2 linked regions of the Macaca fascicularis genome follow. The protein of the gene in region 1 purifies or fractionates together with the protein of each later gene. This does not show direct contact. Links are inferred from orthologs where the notes say so. Each region holds a gene or a part of one and is shown on either strand. Other genes may lie near its edges.

Region 1 (4,310 bases):
GATTACAAGCGTAAGCCACCAAGCCCATCCCAAATATTTACTTTAAAAAAAAAAAAAAAAAAAAAAAAAACAAAAAACAAAAAAAAAACCCACCTTCTTTTGGCCAGTTATCCCAGGACGGGAAATCTATCCCAGGAATATAATCCGAAAGAAAACAAAAACCAAAACAAAATTGAAAAAAAGCACGTCGAATGTACCAGATATTCACTACAGCATTATTTAAAACAGGGAAAAAAGAAACAATCAGGGAAATACTTAAATCATGATACAGCCACTGGAGAACTATGCAGTCTTTGATGCCGTAACAGAGAAATGTTATTTGAAAAAGCAGGATACAGGCCAGGCGCAGTGGCTGACGCCTGTAACCCCAGCACATTGGGAGGCCGAGGCGGGTGGCATCACTCGAGCTCAGGAGTTCAAGACCAGTGTGAGCAACACAGTGAAATCCCGTCTCTACCAAAAATACAAAAAAAAAAAAAAAAGAAAAAAGAAAAAGAAAAAGAAAAAAGAAAAAAAAAATTAGCCGGGCGTGGTGGCATGTATTTAGAGTCCCAGCTACTTGGGAGGCTGAGGTGGGAGCATGGCTTGAGGCTGGGAGGCAGAGGTTGCAGTATGCAGAAACCTCGCCTCAAAAAAAGAAAAGAAAAAGGATACGAAATTGTGATACAACTCTGTGAAGACTACTAGACACATTACAAAATTTTTAATAGTAGTACTCTACGTGGCATTCTGGTAGAAACGATTTCCTTTCCTCAAACTCCCCGTAATAATGTTTTTATACGGTCTGGGGGGATGGGAGATAACATTAAACGACACTTTTTATATCACAAACGCTGGAGTCAATAAAAGTTCTTTAAATTCCTCCAGCAGTAGAGCAAACTTGGTATTCCGATTCTGTCCAGGCTTTGACCAAGAGCGCACCCGAGGGCCACCGCCTTCGTGATCCCAAGCGGGTGTGACTGGGCACCAGTTGGTCCACTGCGGCTGTTCCAACGCTGCCCTCACAGCCTCACCCCAGGACTCCACCAGGAGCACAGGGAAGGGGTCCCCGAGAGTGGGCGAGGTCGCTGCCCGGAGGTAGTGACCACTCCAAGGTCACCATGGAGAACCCGCAGACAGGGCTCGGCACGGCCCAAGACTCCCCGACTCTAAGTCCAGGTCTCGCTCTCTGTGCCGCGCCCCTCGTCCCATCCCGAGCAGCTACCCCCAAGCTCCCAGGGGCTCCGCCGAGGCGAAGCCTCACATTGCGGCTTGGCGGCCGACAAGACCCGCGACCCTGATCTCGGCACCTCCACGCCACCGCCCGGGGGCCAAGACCCCCGAGCACCGCCACATAGCGTAGCCCAGACCGGTTCCCTCATCCTTTTTCGCCCTCTCAACCCAGCTTTTCCCGACTCCGGGAAGAACCGGGAAGAGAAGGCGGAGGGGAGCGAAGCGCCGCCTGATAAATACTGTGGCCCAGTCCCGCCCCCGAAACGTCACATCCGGCCCGTGCCAAGATGGCAGCGCCCAGGCGGTGCCACGCAGACTTCCGCCCGGTGCGGAGACCTAAAGCTGGCAGCGGGTCGCGTCGCAGGTGAAGTGGTGACGCGCGGTGTGGAGCCGCGGCCCGGGTGCGTCCCTGCCTGGTTCCTGGGCGGGGTTCCTGGAGAGAGGGCGTGTCGCGAGCCAAAGGCTCTCACCTGGGTGGTCCCGGGAATCTCGCCACGTGGGAGGGGAGGAGCTGAGAGGCCACTGGAGGGACGCACCGACTGGGGGACCGGAAAGCAAGGGGGTTGGGTTCCGCCAGGGTCCGCGTGTCAGTCCACTCTGGTAATCTCGTCCCCCCTTCTCTCCCAGGCAACATGTCGGAAGGAAACGCCGCCGGCGAGCCCAGCACTCCGGGAGGGCCCCGACCCCTCCTGACTGGGGCCCGGGGGCTCATCGGGCGGCGGCCGGCGCCTCCCCTCACCCCCGGCCGCCTTCCCTCCATCCGTTCCAGGGACCTCACCCTCGGGGGAGTCAAGAAGGTATCCAACGGCGCGTTTCTAAAGAAACTCAACTACCTTGAATTCCAAGCCCCGGCATTCAACTGATGTTTGTGTAGGGCCTACTATGTGTCAGGAGTGTCGTTGGGCCTCAAGCCTACCCCTCTTTAAATTCTAGGGAGCCTGTCCTATCTTCAAATCTAGGTACTGAGTACAAAATGTTGAAATGAGTCCCAGAGGTGGTTGAAAGACAGAGAATCCTAATAAGTTAAAGTCGTTCAAAAGTAATTTGAACAGTGTTTATTTACTCTTATTGTGTGTTTGGACATTTTTAAGAAACCCATGAAAGCCAGGCAGGCATAAACTTCACAGTCTTAGAGCGTTCAGAATTCACCATCTCAGTGTGCAAACTTGTTATCTAGAGTATCATGAATCCTAGGCATGGCATTCGAGGCTCTGTGGGCTGTCCCATGTGTATATGACTGTGGATGTCAAGAGTAGCCCAGAAAGGGGTGGTGTCAGGATGACAGAAGAATAAAGCAGGTTTTTGGGTTTTTTTTTTGAGACGAAGTCTCGCCCTAGTCCCCCAAACTGGAGTGTAATGGCATGATCTTGGCTCACTGCAACCTCTGCCTCCCGGGTTTGAGTGATTCTCCTGCCTCAGCCTCCTGAGTAGCTGGGATTACAGGTGCCCGCCACCATGTCCAGCTGATTTTTGTATTTTTAGTAGACACAAGGTTTCACCATGTTGGCCAGGCTGTTCTTGAACCCCTGACCTTGTGATCCACCCACCTCGGCCTCCCAAAGTGCTGGGATTACAGGCGTGAGCCACCGCTCCCGGCCAAATAAAGCAGTTTTTTTTGTTTGTTTGTTTTGTTTTTAACAGAGTCTCTTTCTGTCGCCCAGGCTGTAGCACAGAGGCACCATCTCAGCTCACTGCAACCTCCACCTCCTGGGGTTCAAGCGATTCTCCTCCCTCAGCCTCCCGAGTAGCTGGGATTACAGAGGCCTGCCACCGCACCTGGCTAATTTTTGTAGTTTTTAGTAGAGACGGGGTTTCACCATCTTGGCCAGGCTGATCTTGAACTCCTGACCTCATGATCCACCTGCCTTGGCCTCCCAAAGTGCTGCGATTACAGGCGTGAGCCACCACGCCTGGACATAAAGCAGTCTTTAGAAACCTAACTTTGCCTTGGAAAATATGGAAAAACACTGCCAACAGTGATTGAGAGTATTGGCAGATCTGTGGCCTTCCCTACTTAGGCCTTGCTGCTAGAGATGTTCCCCCATGATACTGACTGGTCTCTATAGCAGTTTGAAGATAAGAGGTGAGACCAGAGAAATTCCTTTGCTTTTAGAAGTCCCAGAGGACCTTCTTTCAGGATCTTCTTTCCTAAGGCTGCTGGTTAAAAATGGTTTTTGGTGCCCCTTTCTTCTATGCATAACTCCACTGCCACCACACCATGACGTTCCTCCTTTTCAGGCACACGTGTATCTAGAAAACTGACAGCACTGTGGAATGTGCCAAAGAGAGTCATGGTGGCCGTGGTCTGTAGAAGATGCCCGTTGGGAGTTTTTATTTTCCTCTGTACTTTGGGATCAGGACCTAACACATCAGTGACTCCTGTATTTTGCTTTCAGAAAACCTTCACCCCAAATATCATCAGTCGGAAGATCAAGGAAGAGTAAGTAGCTAGTCCTTCTGAATACTTGCCCCTTATTTACTTGCTCTGAATTTGGGGCTTTGGGGAGAAATAAGTAGGTTTGTGGCTCCAAAATTTAAATTTATATCTTTAGTTCTTTTCACTAGTGATTTTCAACCCTGGCTCCTAGGTGATTCTAATGTTTAAGCTTTAAAAAAAAAAAATACTGGTGTCTAGGGTTCCATCTCTAGAAATTGTGATTTAACTTGTTGGCAGTAGAATGGAGTGATTCTCTTTGATGGCCCGAGTTGAGAGCCAATAGTTTAAACAAAGATGTATCACGCTTTCCCTGAAGTTCCTTTGCATTTCTGCCTTCCTGCTTTCAGTCCCAATGCAAACAAAAATCTACATTTTTGGACAAGAACGTAAAGTAAAGCAAACTGAAAAAATCCTGCCTCATCAAGGAAGTGAGAAAAGTGCTAGAATTAGGATTGGATTCTGCTTCTCATGGTGTAATTATTGGCTCAAACTCTCCGCTGTCTTGGAGTGAAGTGGTATGGGAGAGTAAGGCCAGTTTTTGGAGACACAGTGAGTGAGTGGTTTCCCTTAATCCATTCTTTTTTCCAGGCCCAAGGAAGAAGTAACTGTCAAGAAGGAGAAGCGTGAAAGGGACAGAGACCGACAGCGAGAGGGGCATGGA
Region 2 (3,444 bases), on another chromosome or scaffold:
GGAGGTGGAGGTTGCAGTGAGCTGAGATCTCGCCACTGTACTCTAGCCTGGATGACACAACAAGGCTCTGCCTCAAAAAAAACAAAAACAAAAACAAACCAAAACAAAAAAACACTGGCCAGGTGTGGTGGCTCACACCTATAATCCCAGCACTTTGGGAGGCTGAGGTGGGCAGATCACGAGGTCAGGAGTTCGAGACCATCTTGGCCAACATAGTGAAATCCTGTCTGTACAAAAAAAAAAAAATACAAAAAATTAGCCAGGCCTGGTGGCAGGTGCCTGTAATCCCAGCTACTTGGGAAGCTGAGGCAAGGAGAATTGCTTGAATCTGGGAAGTGGAAGTTGAAGTGGACCGAGATTGCGCCACCGCACTCCAACCCTGGGCGACAGTGTGAGACTCCATCTGGAAAAAAAAAAAAAAATCATAATTTTAGGTGGAAAAGAAACAGGTTAGAAGAGTGATAAGGGGCCGGGCGCCGTGGCTCACGCCTGTAATCCCAGCACTTTGGGAGGGCGAGTTGGGTGGATCACGAGGTCAGGAGATTGAGACCATCCTGGCCAACATGGTGAAACCCTGTCTCTACTAAAAATACAAAAATTAGCTGGGCGTGGTGATGTGCGCCTGTAGTCCCAGCTACTCAGGAGGCTGAAGCAGGAGAATCACTTGAACCTGGGAGGTGGAGGTTGCAGTAAGCTGAGATTGCACCACTGCACTCCAGCCTGAGCGACAGAGCAGGACTCTGTCTCAAAAAAAAAAAAAAGAAAAAAAAAAAAGAGATAAGGTCCTCACTGAAGCTGAGCCCCTGGGCTCTGAGTTTGGGGTAAGGAAACAGATAATTCCTGAGTATTGAGAGGGCTGGACTCTCAGGAACAGTCCTGTTCTGGGTCTCAAGGGATAAAACTTTGACTCTTCCACCCCTCAGATGTGGAGCGTTATTCAGACAAATACCAGATGTCAGGTCCGATTGACAATGCCATCGATTGGAACCCTGGTAGGTGATGGGCTCGTTCATTGACTGCCTTTCTTTCAAATGCATGAGATGCTTCAAGCCATTTCCGCCACGCCCATGTCCCCACCCCATTCCCTGATCCAGCATCTGCAAGCTAGAGCCTTAGTTATGTTCCAAAACACTCTCAGATTTTACCTGGAAAAGCTATTAAATAGTTCCCACTACTCAGGAGATATCTAAGCCACAGTTTTGTTCTGAACAACTTTGACCCAGCCCCTTCCTTCCTCTCCTTTAAAACCCTCAATCCCCCCTTTAAAACCAGTCATTATTCACTGGAGAGCCCAGGCAGGGTCCTATTGACATTTACATTCTCACTATTCCCAGATTGGCGGCGTCTACCCCGGGAGCTAAAGATCCGAGTGCGGAAGCTACAGAAGGAACGTAAGTGTATCTGGAAAAAGGAGGGAGAAGAGAGGTTTCCTTCATCAGCCTGAGGGCCAAGGCTGCTGCTGGTCTCACTTTCCATCCCAGTTCCTATACCCAATCTACCAAGTGTTGTTGCTAGATGTCATAGTGGCCACATGAGGGCAGCAGAGTGACATGTTCTTTGCATGAGGATGGGCTATAAAGCTGGCAAAATTTGCTCTCTGATGGTTCACCTTTTGATCCCCCCACCAGGGATTACAATTCTGCTCCCCAAGAGGCCCCCTAAGACCACAGAAGATAAGGAGGAAACAATACAGAAACTAGAGGTGAGGAGGAAGTGTGCATAGAGACCTTCTGAGCCCTGGATCCATTCCCTCTCTCTTGACCCATGTGTGCCTCAATTTTTCCCTTCTGTGAACTGAACCTGAATTTCTATTCCTATTCATCCCCACATGAGACCCTGGAGAAGAAGGAAGAAGAAGTAACTTCAGAGGAGGATGAGGAGAAGGAAGAAGAAGAAGAGAAGGAAGAGGAGGAAGAAGAAGAGTATGATGAAGAAGAACATGAAGAGGTGAAGGGGACTCCTTCCACCTTAGTCCCCCTCCCTTTACCCCAGAAACTCTGGGGATCTCAACTCTTTATACTAGGGATGCTTTCCTCAGAGGGTTGGCATGCCAACAGAGATAGTGCCCCCCAGGGTAGGGGCTTCCCTCTACTCCCTCTGCCCACTTCTCCAAACTACAGCTGGAAGAGCTGTCTCAGGCCTGGAATGGTGTGACTGGGAGGAGAGGGGTCTGGTACACAGGAAGGAAGGTGAATGCCAAATTGACTTTTACTTTTTTTTTTTCCATTTCAGGAAACTGATTACATCATGTCATATTTTGACAATGGAGAGGACTTTGGGGGTGACAGTGATGACAATATGGACGAGGCTATATACTGAAGAACGTCTCTGGACCCTTGTGTCTTTCTTGAGGCTACAGAGAGTAACTGTCCCTGTTATTTGTTTTTTTGGACAAGCAAATCATTTGGTCAGAGTTCACATAACCTCTCTGGTCCCTGGAGATGGGAATGGAGGATGATGACAGTTTATTTTCTACGCTTCCCCTCCTTCCACGTTTGTATCACCTCTGCTATCTGAAGGGAGAAAGGAGAATTGAAAGAAGAACTGGGGTTGTTAGAGCTGAGATAACTGTACACGTACCCCTGCCCAATTTGTATAGCTCTTTGTGGAGATAATTAAGGATGGGAGCAGTTTGAAGGAGTAAGCCTGGTTTTATACTTTTAAATAAAGTGTTTTTATCTGTCTCTGTTGTGGGTGAGGCCTGGTGATAGAGGGCTGGAGGAATGAAGGAAATGATTAACTAAGCAGGGTGCTGTGATACACTGGAGGGTTACAGCCCGCTTGTCCTTTGTCCCTTCCCTTCTACCCCCATGGTGGGATACATATTCACAATCTAGCCCCGCCAAGGAATATTCAAGGCCTCATCTGTAGGGCAACGCAGAGTAAGTTGTAGAGAAGAACAGTCTGTGCCCCTTGCAGACCAGCTGACTTCTGAGCCTCTGGTCATCAGGCCACAAGGACATGATTGTGTCTGTTCACACATGTTCACAAGGACACAGACCCTGTCTTTCCCACACTTGACCTTGGTCTTGTCCTTATTCACAAAAAATGGTTACAGCAATTTTTGTGGGAAAAGTCAAGAAAACCAGGTATGAGGAGGGAGGAGGAGCTGACTTATCCACCATACTCCCTCCTCTTCCAGACCCTGGAGATGCCACTTTGAAAGGTATATCTGTGCAGAGTGAGCCCCCCTAAATATCCTATTCTCCAGTTACAGAAACCAGTGTGTGACTGAGTTGCAGTTTCTCTTTTGGTTCTTCCCTTTGTGGAATTTAGTTAGCCTTTCTCACTCCCTTTCTTTGGGGGAAGGGAGGTAGGCGGTGTTATTTTACAGGAAGTAAAGAGGGTGGGGAGGAAGGGAGTGACTTAGGGACACTCACAGATCTGAGAGATGCTTTCTCGCCCACAGAGCTCTCCCTTGGGTGAGGTCACTTTCCGAGGCTC

Evidence for each region.
Region 2: the proteins of POLR3D (region 1) and POLR3GL purify together in Homo sapiens (co-immunoprecipitation; 4 studies listed by BioGRID and IntAct, counting the BioPlex papers as one, with this or other methods). This does not show direct contact. The link is inferred for Macaca fascicularis from reciprocal best matches to the Homo sapiens genes POLR3D and POLR3GL.

The regions. Positions count from the first base shown.
Region 1 is NC_088382.1:25,315,869-25,320,178, forward strand, and holds the start of POLR3D (DNA-directed RNA polymerase III subunit RPC4), read left to right. Parts: upstream 1-1,491; 5' UTR 1,492-1,576; exon of another isoform or gene 1,577-1,613; intron 1,614-1,839; 5' UTR 1,840-1,844; coding exon 1,845-2,009; intron 2,010-3,608; coding exon 3,609-3,652; intron 3,653-4,237; coding exon 4,238-4,310. UniProt on the Homo sapiens protein: DNA-dependent RNA polymerase catalyzes the transcription of DNA into RNA using the four ribonucleoside triphosphates as substrates.
Region 2 is NC_088375.1:113,441,486-113,444,929, reverse strand, and holds the end of POLR3GL (DNA-directed RNA polymerase III subunit RPC7-like), read left to right. Parts: intron 1-923; coding exon 924-992; intron 993-1,334; coding exon 1,335-1,391; intron 1,392-1,628; coding exon 1,629-1,702; intron 1,703-1,833; coding exon 1,834-1,947; intron 1,948-2,232; coding exon 2,233-2,319; 3' UTR 2,320-2,684; downstream 2,685-3,444. UniProt on the Homo sapiens protein: DNA-dependent RNA polymerase catalyzes the transcription of DNA into RNA using the four ribonucleoside triphosphates as substrates. Specific peripheric component of RNA polymerase III which synthesizes small RNAs, such as 5S rRNA and tRNAs.